Rattus norvegicus: one gene and its partners. Each later gene encodes a partner of the first gene's protein in a complex. Links are inferred from orthologs where the notes say so. Each region holds a gene or a part of one and is shown on either strand. Other genes may lie near its edges. The genes, in order: Arrb1, Grm3 and Ntsr1.

The links.
Region 2: the proteins of Arrb1 (region 1) and Grm3 are in contact, whole or in part, in a cryo-EM structure (PDB 9II2), measured with the Homo sapiens proteins. The link is inferred for Rattus norvegicus from reciprocal best matches to the Homo sapiens genes ARRB1 and GRM3. Residues at the interface, in NP_004032.2 of Homo sapiens: Gly5, Thr6, Arg7, Val8, Phe9, Lys10, Lys11, Ala12, Ser13, Pro14, Tyr21, Arg25, Arg65, Glu66, Asp67, Leu71, Gly72, Leu73, Thr74, Phe75, Arg76, Lys77, Arg103, Leu104, Lys107, Pro133, Arg236, Phe244, Asn245, Thr246; in NP_000831.2 of Homo sapiens: Pro605, Lys608, Ala609, Ile669, Phe670, Asp671, Gly672, Val673, Lys674, Asn675, Ala677, Gln678, Arg679, Lys681, Phe682, Ser684, Cys761, Pro762, Glu763, Phe765, Val834, Val835, Thr836, His837, Gln855, Ser856, Ser857, Ala858, Ser859, Thr860.
Region 3: the proteins of Arrb1 (region 1) and Ntsr1 are in contact, whole or in part, in a cryo-EM structure (PDB 6UP7), measured with the Homo sapiens proteins. The link is inferred for Rattus norvegicus from reciprocal best matches to the Homo sapiens genes ARRB1 and NTSR1. Residues at the interface, in NP_004032.2 of Homo sapiens: Tyr63, Arg65, Asp67, Leu68, Val70, Leu71, Gly72, Leu73, Thr74, Phe75, Arg76, Lys77, Asn245, Thr246, Ala247, Gln248, Tyr249, Lys250, Lys284, Arg285, Gly286; in NP_002522.2 of Homo sapiens: Ser93, Leu94, Gln95, Ser96, Leu97, Gln98, Thr100, Val101, Arg166, Ile170, Pro173, Lys177, Phe286, Ser287, Met288, Ala289, Ile290, Ala297, Leu298, Gly301, Ser368, Asn370.

The regions. Positions count from the first base shown.
Region 1 is NC_086019.1:163,248,559-163,253,616, reverse strand, and holds the start of Arrb1 (beta-arrestin-1), read right to left. Parts: upstream 3,402-5,058; 5' UTR 3,370-3,401; coding exon 3,350-3,369; intron 1-3,349. UniProt on the Homo sapiens protein: Functions in regulating agonist-mediated G-protein coupled receptor (GPCR) signaling by mediating both receptor desensitization and resensitization processes.
Region 2 is NC_086022.1:25,476,417-25,480,896, forward strand, and holds part of Grm3 (metabotropic glutamate receptor 3 precursor), read left to right. Parts: intron 1-3,769; coding exon 3,770-4,480. UniProt on the Homo sapiens protein: G-protein coupled receptor for glutamate. Ligand binding causes a conformation change that triggers signaling via guanine nucleotide-binding proteins (G proteins) and modulates the activity of down-stream effectors.
Region 3 is NC_086021.1:187,982,183-187,987,187, forward strand, and holds the start of Ntsr1 (neurotensin receptor type 1), read left to right. Parts: upstream 1-1,595; 5' UTR 1,596-2,059; coding exon 2,060-2,776; intron 2,777-5,005. UniProt on the Homo sapiens protein: G-protein coupled receptor for the tridecapeptide neurotensin (NTS). Signaling is effected via G proteins that activate a phosphatidylinositol-calcium second messenger system.

The DNA of each region.
Region 1 (5,058 bases):
GGGCAAAAGTTACTATCAGGTATCTTCTTCCAACGCTCTCTATGTTTTGAGACAGAATCTCTCACTGTGAGTGCTAGACTGGCTGGCCAGAGAGCTCCAGAAACATGCCTGTCTGCACATCCCTTTCCCTCCTTTCCCTTTATCCCCACCCCCAGCAGTAGGGTTAGAGCCCACTATGCTCAACTTTTTATGTGGGGTCTGAAGATGCTAATTCATGGCCTCAGGCTTAGGCAGCAAGCATTTTACTGGAGTCATCTCCCCAGCCCCTGTGAACATAATTCTAAGCCCAGAGAGGCAGCAGAGATGCATTCAGCCATCTAGCTTGCTGACCCCCACTTCCTTGATCATATGCTATTGATCAGCCTTAGTTCTGAGCCACGGCCTTGGTTCTGAGGCTCCTTCCTAGAGTGTCTCTGCCTCAAGGCCAGCTCCTCCCTCTGCTGGCCACTGTCTTAAGCACCTGTCTGAGAGGAAGACTTGTTCTTGTCCTCCATTCTCCACCCTCTTCTCCCAGCTGATCCTGGCAATGGAAGAAAAATCCTGTTGCCTTAGCCTGACCTTCCCAGGGCTGGGGATGACTGGCCTGTGTTCCTCTCGCAGGCCCCACCCCCAGGCTTCTCTTCCCACCTCCCGGTCCTTGTACATTCTGCACCCTGGGCTGGCAGGGCACTGGTTGCAGTTCCACTGCTCAGCCTCCTCAAGCTTCTAGGTCAATCTCAGCTGCTTTGACTACCCAGAACAGTTTCGGGTCACATCCAGCTCAGCTCTGGTGTGGATGCCTCTTCCACCTCCCAAAGTGATTGTGTCGTGTACCACCATCACCTGGGAATGGATAGTCTGGGGATTCAGCTCTGGGAACTCCTGCCCCAGGCTACAAAGAAGCCACTCTTTCATGACCTGTGCTCATTGGACCCCTGTTGGTGCTAGCTTGCTCTGCCCTGGGCCTCCTCTCAACCCAGGGGTTTCTGCAAGGGCAGTGACAGTTTTGATTAACGTTCATTATCACTTCCTCCAACCGACAGGAATAGATGTGATGACTCCAGAGCCTAAGAGTATTGAGTATTTGCAATGTCCCTTCCAGGTCTCAAAGCAAAATCTCATGGCCAATGTAACACAATGGAGAAAGCTTCTTACCTTTCATATCCAGACAGATCTAGAAAGAGAAAGGCAGAATTCATGGCTCTAGAGGGGCCCAGGGAGGGGAGGCAAACACGGACAGGTGGAGTTTGTGTAGCTAGTCTGTATTTCCTGGCATAGGCAACTCCTACTCCTATGTCCAGTGAGCTCAGTAAGCTTTTGGGAGCCATGAAAACCAAAGTTCTAATGGCTCCAATGTACAGATGGGAATACTGGGTCTGCCCTTGAGTTAGAAGCACAGCAGGGGAGTCAAGGACAAAGCTGTGGCCTCAGGATTCTCCAACAGGTGTCTGGCAGCCAGAGTGTCCTCCTCCTATGACAATTCAAGGTATCAGGAATCTGTGACACTTCTCCCCTAGTTACAGAGAGGCCCAGCATGGCTGAGTCACCCTGGTCACCAGCAGCACTGGAGAACAAAGGAGAAGTCAGTGGCTGCTGACTCCCTGCCGTGCCTCACAGGGAGCAAAGCTCAACCTTACAGTTCCAGAGAGTCTCAAAGCGGGGAGGGGGATGGGTGTGGCTGAAGAGAGATGCATCCAAGCATCTTTCCTCCAAGGACTGAAGCCTGGGTCACGATGCTGACCAGCCAGCTGCATTGGCCCTCAAGGTGAATGCAAACACCTCATGGCTGTCCGCAGTCTCCCAAAGCTGTGCCTCTGCACCAAGTGAGTCCCTTGCTAGTCTTTACACCCAGGGCCCCAAGGAGAGCCACAAGATACAGTGGGCTGTGGCCTCTGCCCCTTCCTGACCTTCAGCAAGGCAAGTGACCTTTCTCACCCTTCAGTTCCTCTTTGGGGAAACCAGAATAGGAAAATTAACCTCCAGGAAGGGCCATCAATAGGGAGGCTGGTGGGAGGTAGTTTCTAAACATGAGGAATCTGAGTTAGCACTATGCCTCAATTTCTACTCCTGGGAAATGGGAATAACCTCTGTAGCCCCTTTCACTCACTGCTGAAAGGCTCTGGGGTCAGTGGGCAAAAAACCAGTTTGTTTAAGGGCCCCAACATGTGACTGCAGGGATGCTTCCTTTCTGATCATCTCTCATCACCGAGGCTATGCCTAGTATACAACAGGGGCTTAATAAATAAATATCAGAGGAAAGGAAGTGAAGGCAGAGAGAAGAACACAAACATAAGAGTAATAAGGAAAGCAGTGATAAAAAGCAGGTGCAGGAAGACTAGAGGAGGGGCCAGGAAGGGCGGCAAGGAGACTCTCAAGGGCCAGGAAGGTAAACTCTAAGTTGACTAGGGCTGGTCTAGGTCATAAGGATTGACCCCAAGAGCTTCCCTGCCCCTCCCTAGCCTTCCTACTTTGACCTAGTTTCCATTTCGAGGGCCTAACCTTTCCTTTCAAGGCAGGATCTACAAAAACAGTTTCCCTCACCACCACCATCCCCAGCTAGATGTAGCCCCTAGCTATGTGCTTTGGAGGTCAGAGGGGAAGGAAAGCATGTGAATGGGACCTGCCTTCCAGGTCTCAAAGTCTCCCACTCTGACCTGTGTTTCTGGTCTGGCCATGGGGAGTCAGAAGTGAAGTGTATCCACTGCCCTAGAGATGTCAGGCCCTGCAGGCATTTTCTGCTGTGCATGTGCGTGATTGGCCTTGATGTGTCACTAAGACCTGTGGCTGCATCGTGTCATTTCAGAGAGGGTTGACAGACTGCAAGCACTAGCCAGACCGTGCTTTGCAGCATCCAGGTGACAGGATACGTATGTTGGTGTATGCCCAGATGTGCGTGGCAACACGAGGTGTGTTAGAGCTGGTGCGTGTTCCAGTGGGACCTGTGTATGCTAACAGTACTGACAGCAGGAATGTGTTGGCAGACTAGTGTGTGCGTGAGAGACCGCGTGTGACGTTGTCGTGTCACAAATGCGAAGTGTGGCAGCGACTGTCAGTGTGTGCCAGCAGAAGGGTGTTCATGTGTTTATGAGTGTGTGTGTCGTGTGTCAGCCTGCCCCAGAACGTCCTCGAGTCTACCGACCAGCCAGGGCTGGTTGTGTGAGCTCGTCTCGGCCAGGAGCCTTGAACCAAGTGGGGTGGCCCATCCTGGGTGCCTCCGTCCTTACACATGGTTCTGGCCAGAGACCACACAAGAGACTTGGGCGGACAACAGAGTGCCAGATCCCGGGTGACGCTGATTGGAACCTCCGCCCGTGCCCTCGCCCAGGTCGTCCCCACGCGCACGCGGGACAGGGCGGCCACCCGCACTCACCGTGTCCCTTTGTCGCCCATGGTCCGCGGCGGCCGCAGGGAGGTCCGCGGCGTCAGCGTCCAGGCTGGAAAATCCCCGGCCGCCAGGAGAAGCGCGGGCCAGCCCGCTCCCGGCTACCCCGCTCCGCCTCCTCCGCTGTCGCCGCCGCCGCCCCCGCCCGGGTCCCCGCCCGTCGCTCGAGCAGCACAGCGCCCCGGCCGCCGCCAGGGGCGTGGAGCGTGCGGGTGTGAGCGCGCGTGTGTGGCTCCGTGCGCCGCTCTGCGTGTGCGCGCCCAGAGAGTGAGGGCTGGGTGGCCGGCCGCGGCTGGTCCACGAGAGTGCGTGCACGCAAGCGCGTGCCAGTGCTGGTGCGTGTGCACGGCTGTGCGCGCGAGCCTGTCGGGAGAAGGGGGGAGGGGTAGAGAGAGAGATTGTGTGTGTGTGTATGTGTGTGTGTGTGTGTGTGTGCAGAGATAGCACGTCTTTGTGCAGTTGTGCGTGTGTGCTCACAATCGTGGGTGCAAGCGCGCTCTCCCGCGCAAGCCAGGACTGGCCTTTGTGTCTGCGGATAGATGCAAGCGGAAAATCCGCAGACTCCAAGGCCCAGCCTCAGCGGCGCCCCTGTGTGTGAACACAGCAAAAGATTCCAAAAGCCTAGCCAGGCCTTCGCCCTTTGCTCCACCCTCCCCGCCCCCGCCCTTCTGGAGAGATACCACCCAACGGCACAGCGGGGACAGGAAGAAGGGGTGGGGGCGGGCAGCGGACTGCAATGCTGGAGAGCAGATGAGAGTGGAAAGAGGAGGGGAGGGGCAGGCAGAAAGAGGAAGCTGTGAGAACAGAAGATAAAGCAGGGACCAAGAGCCAACTAGCTGGTGACCGGAGCATCCAGCATCATTGCTAGCACCCAGGCCTAGTTTACTTGCCTGCAATGACTCTAGACATCAGCCATCTCAGCCCATTCCAGATCTACTGGCTGGGTCCTAAGACCAGCAGATGCCCTGTTCTATAGGTGAAGGAATTCACTTGTTCTTGCCGGCAGGCACCTGCACACAGTGGTGTCCAGCAGAGCTTACTGTCTGCAGCTTTCTTGCTATCCTTGAAATCTTGACTTTCCCCAAGTTTCCTACCCCTGTGGAAGTAGCAGGTGTGCAGTGGGAGGGTGGAGTCCAGAGGCTAAGGAGGGGTAGGAAAGGGTTCTGGATTTTAATCCATTTTCTCCTGGAAGGGATCTTAAGGGGTTCCTTCTTGCTTTGCAGGAAGTGGGAGAATGTAAGGTCTTTCTCAGCCGCTTGCTGCTGGGGTTTGACTAATTGGCACTGATAGGTCCCTAATATCGGAGTATTAACGATAGGAAAGGAAGCTATCATTTACTCTGATGCAATTGCGGGTCTGGAAACATCTCCTGTAATTATGTTCAGAAGAGTTACCTATGCTGTTTACATAGAGTGTGCTGTTTATAGAGTTGGTAATAATATCCCAGGATAACGACTATAATTATGTCCAGATTGGGGAGGGGTGGGTAGAGGCTAATGGATAGGCAGGGTGGTCCACATCTGGGCAATGGTAAGAGCTAAGTGAAAATGGATTACGGTCTGTAACTTCACCTGCCCTTTCTTAGCCTCTGGGATCTTCCCTTGCTCCAACCAGGGCAGAACAGGAAGCTACCAGATCCTTCTGCAAGGGGTTGTGGGGGGATCTTGAAAGGAACAGAATAGGATCCTCTGTTGATA
Region 2 (4,480 bases), on another chromosome or scaffold:
CTTAACCCTCAGTTCCTCCAGTGCCTTCCATTAAAAAGTGTGGTTTGGGGAGGGTTATCTTCTCTCTCTTTCTGAGACTATATTGTGTGGATTATCTTTAAGTCCTTCATCTGCTCTTAAACTAAATTACTTAAATAATCTCTACCTATGTAATACCTATGAAAAGTTCCCATCTTCTCTTAAAATGCTTCTGTCTAAAACATAACTAGGTCCTGGTTTTCTTTCCTCCTCTCTTACTAATAATAACATAACTGGGTAACTTTCTTCCTAGTTTTACACCACTTTCCCATTCTTAGATGATTCTTCCTTTACCGTTCAAAATAATGTCCAGTGTAGGAGTTTTTCTTACTTCATGCTTTCTCCAAAAAAAAATATATATGGTCAGTTACCAAGGCAGGAATGTTTTTAAATGCCCAATTTTAAACAAATGAGACAGAACTTAGCAGATACCTGGGCAAATTTAAATTTTACATTTACAAAAATCTGAGGTCTAGGAGGACAGCTCAGTGGGTAAAGAGCTTACTACAAAAGCACAAAGGCCTGAAGTTGGACCTTCAGACTCCACATAGCTACATAAGCTAGCACATGTCTGTCATCCCAGCTCTCTTATGGCAAGATGTGAGGCCTACTTGCAAGAACCTCCAGAAGACTGGTATGTGTAGAAAGGCAGAGGGTGGGCAGTGTTCCCTGAGCTTTTCCTGCTCCTTCACATATATTCTAGAACAGGCATGTATTTGCATTCACACATGCATGCATGTACAACAACGTGCATGTACAAAGAAAACCCCTACTGACGTCAGCGCGAGAGTGTCTGACATACCAAACACTGTTTATGTCCCTGGCTGAATGTCTCCACATTCTAAGCCTCAAATTGATGACCACACAAGAGAGGTGAAGACGAAGGCAGGAGAAGACAACCATGGTATTGGAAGTCAAATGCCTAGCTTTGCATTTTGATTTTCTACCACACTTAATTACAAAACTATGAAAAAGTTTCAGGAGTTCACAGAATCCAGTTTTGCATGTTGAAATTAAGATAATACTTACCTCAAAAGACCCTTGTAAATAACAATAAAAAATACATGTGTAGATTTAGACATACATACCACACACACACACACACACACGCACACGCACACGCACACGCACACGCACACACACACAATCATTACAAATAGTAACTGATGCTCTAAGAAAATGGATTCATAAAAATGCACAAACCAAAGTATGAATGTTGTTCTCTAGAAATCAGACTAGACTGAAGGAGTGAGGAGAGAGAGATTAACGATCTGCCTTCTGTGGTACCTACTCATTAATTCAGAATGATTACTTTGTAACTAAGGAACCTAAGTTTGGAAGAACAATTCACCATAATGGGACTATCTCAGTACTTCACCGTAGCATTCATTTGTTGTAAATGTGTTCATAATGTACCTCACAGTGCCATTACTTTCCATGATTGCTCCATGCTGTTCAATACAGATGATACAGTTGACATTGCACTTAGGAGAGTTCCACCCCTGTATCTTAACTCAGCAATTATGCTCCCTTTTCCTAGAGTTAGCTGTGGCTTCCTTAGTTAAATACACATGCACTGTGACATGTACAGCCGTTGAAAAACAAGGGTGGTAGTCAGTATCTTATTCTACTTCACCACCTTTCCAAACAGGCTGCAGCTCGCTGTACCTCCTTCCAGCACAGAGAATGTTCATGTAACTTTCCTGTTGGAGCTAACTCATCCTTCTGTGTAGCTTTTCTTGATTGTAAGTTGTTCTCAGACATTCTGAAGCAGTGAACTTAAAGCCACAGGATCTAGCAGTCAATGGAAGTTGAATACTTCCTTACCCTTTTGGGAGAAGAAAATTCCAACAGCTTAGGAGCTGTGGTTCTTTATTTCCAGAAAATAGTGTCTCTGGGTATTCTTCAATGTCTCCCTAGACAGAACAGGCTCTGGTGACTCCAACAAGATGAGGAAAGTATTCCATCAATAAGAAATGGCCTTTCTGGTGCTACCCAGAAACTTCACAATCAGGTCTCCACAGAAAAGGATTATATCACCACAGTGGCCATAGTACAACATAAGTCCAGTGGAAGTCGGATACTAGGAGTAATGCAAATACTGGTTCAGGGCAACCTGCCTATTCATTTACCCTGAATAAACAAAAAGTACTCCTGTGCTCTGATCAGCCAGTGTAGGCAAGCCATTCTGTGCGGACGTTTCCAGTCCTTGGCAGAGAACTGCATTCTACCCATTCATCCAATCATTTGCCTTGTCTTGAGGTTCTAATTTTTCATTATTTGGTGTGCCGTGTCTCAGATTTTTCCAGCTGTCCTTGGTTTCCTTTGCTCCATGAAATGAGGATTCATCAGGACTGGGATGGCCATTGCATCCCTTTGCTTGTGTTGTGCTCAGAACTATCCATTTCAAGCTGATCGCCCTGTGTCCCTTAGGTAAACAAAAACATTCAATTGCCAGAAGAAAAAATTTCAAAGTACCTAAGCTCATTCCAACATACAGTCTTCTGAAATACTCAACTTGTTTTATTAAAGTTGACACAGAGGATTATGTGACTTAAAGTCACTAAAGACAGAACTTTTTGAAGCTAGGAAGAATAGAAAACACTTTGTTTATATATTTATTTATTTATTCTCAAGACAGGTTTTCTCTGTATGTGGCTCTGGCTGTCCTGGAACTCATTCTGTAGACCAGGCTGGCCTTGAACTGAGACATAGGCCTGCTTCTGCCTCCCTCCCGAGTGTTGAGATTAAAGGCATGCACCACCATCACCGGAGTAAAAGCAAATTTCTTACTAGATATAAATGTAATCTACTTTGATAGGTGTAACTATATATATATTTTTTTTCAAAGTATTTCATGCAGTACTTCTTGATAAACTCAGATCACTTCCTCTTTTGTCCTATAACAAATAAAAATAGTGGAATGTTGATAATTAACTAATAAAAATTCAAATTTTTATACAACATAGGCCTGAAATATGTCAAAGTACTCAATCATTCCTCAATACTTCATCTGAATTTCATCTGAATTCAAAAATACCATAAAAAGAGTTTATCTGCATGCTTTCCCTTTTCAAATTCTAAGAAAAAAAAAACAAGGCAAAGAAAAAGTTACAGTATCTTCAGAAATTTATCAAATTATATACCTAAAATTTTGAATGGTCTGAATAGAATTTAAGTAGAATTTATTTTGTTTCTTTTGCTTAACCTAGATAATAAATGTCTAATTTGGATTGTCCATGTGGCACTCAGTTCCCAAATTAAACTCTTTCAGAGACTGCCATTTTTAGCGAAAGAGGGGGAAGTGAGAATTAAACACCCCGGATCTTTCTATACAACCACAGCCAAGTTGTCTGAAAACCGAATTTGGCCACTTCACTGTAGTTCATTGTCTGCTGAGCTATAGCAGGACCCAGGGAACTTACAACGACCACGTTCAGAGCCTCTGAGCAAATTTCATCAGTCTAGAGTCTAGCACAGAACTTAAGTAGGTCCAGCCACCGTGGCCTCCCATTTTTCATCATGCTTTTCTCTAAAACAAACACTGCCTGCTTTGAACCTGCTCCCTAATAGCTAAACATGTTACCGAGGAAAGTATCTGGTAAAGGTCTCAAGAAGTGATCCCCTCCCCTCCCCTGCCCCGCACAGAAAAGGAAGCTGGTAACAGACGTGAATGGTGTAAAGATTTCTCTCTCACATAGTCATTTGCTTATGGGTTTTTTAAAAAGATGCCTCTCTCTTTTTTGCTCAGGTGGCAAACCTGCTGAGGCTCTTCCAGATCCCTCAGATAAGCTACGCCTCCACCAGCGCCAAACTCAGTGACAAGTCGCGCTATGATTACTTTGCCAGGACCGTGCCCCCTGACTTCTACCAGGCCAAAGCCATGGCCGAGATCTTGCGCTTCTTCAACTGGACCTATGTGTCCACCGTTGCCTCTGAGGGTGACTATGGGGAGACAGGGATTGAGGCCTTCGAGCAGGAAGCACGGCTGCGTAACATCTGCATCGCCACTGCTGAAAAGGTGGGCCGCTCCAACATCCGCAAGTCCTACGACAGCGTGATACGTGAGCTCCTGCAGAAACCCAATGCGCGGGTCGTGGTCCTGTTCATGCGCAGTGACGACTCACGAGAGCTGATCGCGGCAGCCAACCGCGTGAATGCCTCCTTCACCTGGGTGGCCAGCGACGGCTGGGGTGCTCAGGAGAGCATAGTCAAGGGCAGTGAGCATGTAGCCTATGGCGCCATCACCCTTGAGCTGGCATCTCACCCGGTTCGCCAGTTTGATCGCTACTTCCAGAGCCTCAACCCCTACAACAATCATCGTAACCCCTGGTTCCGAGACTTCTGGGAGCAGAAGTTCCAGTGCAGCCTCCAGAACAAGAGAAACCACAGACAGGTTTGTGACAAGCACCTGGCCATTGACAGCAGCAACTATGAGCAAGAATCCAAGATTATGTTTGTG
Region 3 (5,005 bases), on another chromosome or scaffold:
ACATGGGATGGATATAGTACTACTTCTTCCTAACCATGTCAGGACCATCAGGCCCTCCCCAACCCTTCACACCCCTCCCCATGCTCATTGCACAGAGTCCGTCAGAGAACAAATCTAGTCTCACCTGGGGCAGTTTTCAAGCCCACCTTACCTGCACCTGATGGGCACCCAACCAGAACCCATCAATACAGATTTCCAGTTCCCTTCCACAAAGGAAGACGCCAAGGTGTACCCAAAAATATTAAAGGCCTGTTCAACCCCTACACCCTCAGCCTGCTGTACTGGTTTTTAACACGGGGACGCAGCTGTTTCCTCGGAAAACAGAGCATCTTATGCACTGCTTTTCATGTGTTAAGATTTTACCGGTGAGCACCAGCTTTTGTCCAGCTGGCACTCTCCAAACAGGTTGAAAGTTGGGGTCTGAGGGTCTCCCTGCTGGCCGAGCAGGGACTCTCTGGTCACATCAGGATCCCTGGTCTGGGTCAAAGCCTCACCCACTTCTCTCATTACCCTCTCTCTCCCCACAGTCCACTCAGGATCCCTAGTTCCAGCACAGCAGGTACAGACAGCAGCAGGGTCCATGCAGGGACCGCAATTTGCCCTGAGCCTTCTTCCCTCCTGCCCCAGGACTCCCCAGGAGTTTTCTGGAGGAAGAAGGCAGAAGGGCCGAGTGGGGAAATAGAGGCAAGGGCCTTGGGACAAGCAAGATGGCAGCAAGCCTGGAAGCTCTTGCCAAGGCCCCTGCCAAGGAGGACAAGATGAAAAGACCTTTGTTCCCTAGGTCCCTGACTGGGGCAGGGTCCCCTGGGAAAAGCTGAGCTGGGCTGAGTTCACAGCCTGCAGTGTTTCCTGGAAGGACAGATGTGACTCTGTGTCACCCACAAACCTGCCCTGCCCCTCTGAAACACGACAGAGCACCGGCTTTGAGAGTCACTGCTGGTGACCAAGTCCAGGTGACTACAAGAGGACAGAGGGGCCCATCATACCCAAAGGCAGCATAAGACCGTGGGATTGCCTGGGCCGGCGTGGAGAGATAGGCTGCTCTGCCTTCCGGCGCTATGCTTTCCTTCACCCGACCCTTCACAGGCTAGAGGGCCCCCTGGGTGCTTCTGGCACCCCGCAGGCACCCAGGAGGGAGGAGGCCGAGCCAGCTGTACAAAGGCCCTGCCATACCAGCAGGGTGCCCCCCTCCTCCTCACCCTTTTCTCTCTGGTAAGGGAGCTGAAGGCGACTAAGGGTAGCTTCCTTTTTGGGGTGGGAGAAGTTGGGATCAATGATCGGGAAGGAGAAGATTGTGCTGCCCGGAAAGGTTGAAAGGAAAGATCCAATATCGCCTCATTCTCCCTCACACCGTAGGGAATCCTGTTTCCTGGGGTACTCATCCTAGCCCAGGTGGTCCCGGGAGCGTGCAGAGGCAACCGTCAGCCAGTATCCGGGTAGGGAGGGGACAGTGGCTGTGGCGTCTCTGACTCTCCAACACCCACCCTCCTCCACTGCTGGGCGCGCCGCGCAGCCGCCAGCTCAGTGGAAGCGCGAGGAGCCCGGCAGGCTCCAGCGCAGCAGGAGGTGTGCGAAGTCGGGTGCGGGAAGAGCTCCAAGCAGAAGAGGGAGAACGAGGGTGAGCACACTGGGTAGCCGTGTGTGCGCTCCGCTCTGCGCCACAGGCTCCCCCAACGAAGCCACAAGCCAGCAGGGTCGCGGTCCTGAGGACATTACTACCACCCAGGAGTGCAGAGAACCAACCACAGAATCTGGAGGTCCGTAGCAGCCCGGATCTAGGCAGGCTAGGGGCTAGGGGGTCGGGGGGTGGGGTGCCGAGGAAGAGCGAAACCGGAACGCAGATCCCAGACTCTGGAGGAGAAAGAAGAGTGGATCCCTGAGCCGGCAAGTCGTGAGCCCCAGAGCTACCAGGCAGGATCCCCTGGATAACGCGCTTAGCCGCTGGACGGCACGCCCCCCTTAGCTTCTGCACCCTCTCCTCTGGGCGCCTCCTCATCTGCCCCTGGAGGGACTTTCACCTGCAAAGGTGCAGGACAAAGCAGCATACCCGGCACCCACCATGCACCTCAACAGCTCCGTGCCGCAGGGCACCCCTGGTGAACCCGATGCCCAGCCCTTTTCGGGACCACAGTCCGAAATGGAAGCGACGTTCCTGGCGCTCAGTTTGAGCAATGGTTCTGGCAATACCTCGGAATCCGACACGGCAGGGCCCAACAGCGACCTGGACGTGAACACTGACATTTATTCCAAGGTGCTGGTGACTGCTATATACCTGGCACTCTTCGTGGTGGGCACTGTGGGCAACTCCGTGACAGCCTTCACTCTAGCGCGGAAGAAGTCACTGCAGAGCCTGCAGAGCACTGTGCATTACCACCTGGGCAGCCTGGCACTGTCTGACCTGCTTATCCTTCTGCTGGCCATGCCCGTGGAGCTATACAACTTCATCTGGGTACACCATCCCTGGGCCTTTGGGGACGCTGGCTGCCGTGGCTACTATTTCCTGCGTGATGCCTGCACCTATGCCACAGCCCTCAATGTAGCCAGCCTGAGTGTGGAGCGCTACTTGGCCATCTGCCATCCCTTCAAGGCCAAGACCCTCATGTCCCGCAGCCGCACCAAGAAATTCATCAGTGCCATATGGCTAGCTTCGGCGCTGCTGGCTATACCCATGCTTTTCACCATGGGCCTGCAGAACCGCAGTGGTGACGGCACGCACCCTGGCGGCCTGGTGTGCACACCCATTGTGGACACAGCCACTGTCAAGGTCGTCATCCAGGTAAGAGCGTCGAAGTGGGGACTCTCTGTGCCATGGCACATTAGAGGGCACACCGGGGCACTGATTTCCCATCTGGCTGTTTCTTTCCATTGGAGCTATACAGAGACTTTTAGCAGTGTCACCTCAGAAGCCCCGATGATTCAAGGCACCACCTGGGGAGATGCAGCAGTGCCTCAGAAGCACTTTTTTTCCCTTCTCCCCTGTCCCAAAGTAGACCCCAGTGACAGCATACTTAATAGCTTACTGTGCTCTTAGGCTGGGAAGGGGCGGGGCACACCCATCAACTCTTCTTCCGAACTTTTCACTCCCAGTCGCCTGCCCCACCCTGCTTCCACCCCTCCTGATGAAGGAGGCTTGAGCCCCAATCAGTGACTTCTGTTTACTGTAAGCCTTCAGGTACTCTCAGGGAAGAGGGTCGCCATCAGCCTTTCAAGAGGTTACAAGAATCCCTGAAACCCCAGGCTGGCTCCCTAAGGCCTTCTGGCTGCCTCTCCTGGACACAAACCCAGGATCTGGAGCTTCCTAGTCTGTGAAGTGAGGTGATCACAGAATGGTCAAGAGGGCTATGAGAGGGGCTCTCAGGTCCCCAGTGTGAAGCACTCCAGGCCCTTGCTGCTGCCGCTGCTGCTGCTGCTGCCGCCACTGCTGCTGCTGCTGCTGCTGGTGATGGTGATGGTGATGGTGGTGGTGGTGGTGGTGTTTGTGCAGAGCAACCTGGAGTGTCTTGGTGTAGAGGGGTGTAATAGGCAAATAAAACTGGGATGATGGACCACAGTCCTCTGTGGGTCTGAGCATAGCACCAGGGAACCAGATGGGAGCCTCCTTGGAAATTACTAGCAGAGTAACTCAGCATGCTGGGAGCTCAACAGGAAAGGACCGTGAGGAGGGAAGTGGGTATCCACAGGGGCAGCTAGAGCCCCTGAGTGGTTATGCCAACACACCAGAGGCTGAGGCAAGAGGATTACAAGTTTGAGGCAAGCTTGGACCTCAAATTTGTGAGACCCTGTCTGAAAAACAACCCCCCACAAAGAAAATGAAGAAATGAAGAAAGTTTTGAAGAATTTCTTGGCTCTAGACCCTGGGCAACCATGGAAGTACAGGGAGGGTTCTCTTCCACCACGGGGTGAGCAAGAAAGGCAGAGAATGAGAGGATCTGGCCAGGGGCTCCTGCCATGTCAGAGGGGCCTCCGGGGAAGGTGGCTATGCCAACTTTCCTCATCAAGCCATCTATAGGCTCCCAGAGCCTCACAGCAAGATTCTGTGGTCACATGGTATATCCAGGTGACACCCAGAAACCAGAAATGCCGGGTTGGTTGCAATCAGCATTCAGACATCAGGCAGTATCTAACTCAAGAATTCATCTCCAAGGTAGGCCGTGGGGACAGGAATAATGCTCTTGTGCTACAAGTGTCCCTGTGTACGGTCCCTCTTGAGCTGCCACTCCTAGCAGGGCTGAGTCAGTGCCTAGCTTGTCTAGCAAGGTCTTCTGCATTAAGGCAAGTGCACATTCATTGGGTGCTCCATGTGACAAACAGTAGGATTCACCATGGCTCCTTGCTTCCTTTGAGGCAACAGGCCTCTTCCTTCAAGCTCCTGTCTTTGATGGGCTTTGTAGGAAGAGGGCTTCGCAGTCCACACTGTTCCCAGCTCCTCCAGCTGTAGGGTCAGGGGCAAGCACAACTCACCCTCATCCACTAGACAAAACCCTTTTTGAAATCCTGCAGAAGCCCTGTTGGAGCCACAGAACCGGATCCACATATGACAGGGTGTCTCCTCCCTTCCAAAGCTCTCTTGTCATTGCTTGCACCTCCCGGTCCATGTGACAGGTTCCTGGTCACTGTCCATCAGCACTGATTGTTGAGCACCCGTCCCGGGCAAGGCTCCCCTCAGTAGCTGTCACATTGTTGGCTGAGTGTTTACTAAGTGCCTGCTGGTGGCCTTTGTGCCCCTGGAGAACAGAGCTTCCATTTTCCCTTAGAAGACTCAGCCTCATTCTCAGAGCAACTGAGTGTAGCGTGTTCTTCATCTGTCTTATGTTAACAGCTGACCAGGTCTCTCTGGCTGGGAGCACAAGCTATTCTGGTTATTTGATGAGACCATTCCTCGGGAGAGGCATGGACCCTCTCACCCCTCCTAAACCACTGTCTGCAATCTGAAGATGTATTTCCGTCCCTGGGATCATGGGATTTGCGGTGCCCACCAAAATGTCTGGGCACACTAAGGAGATGA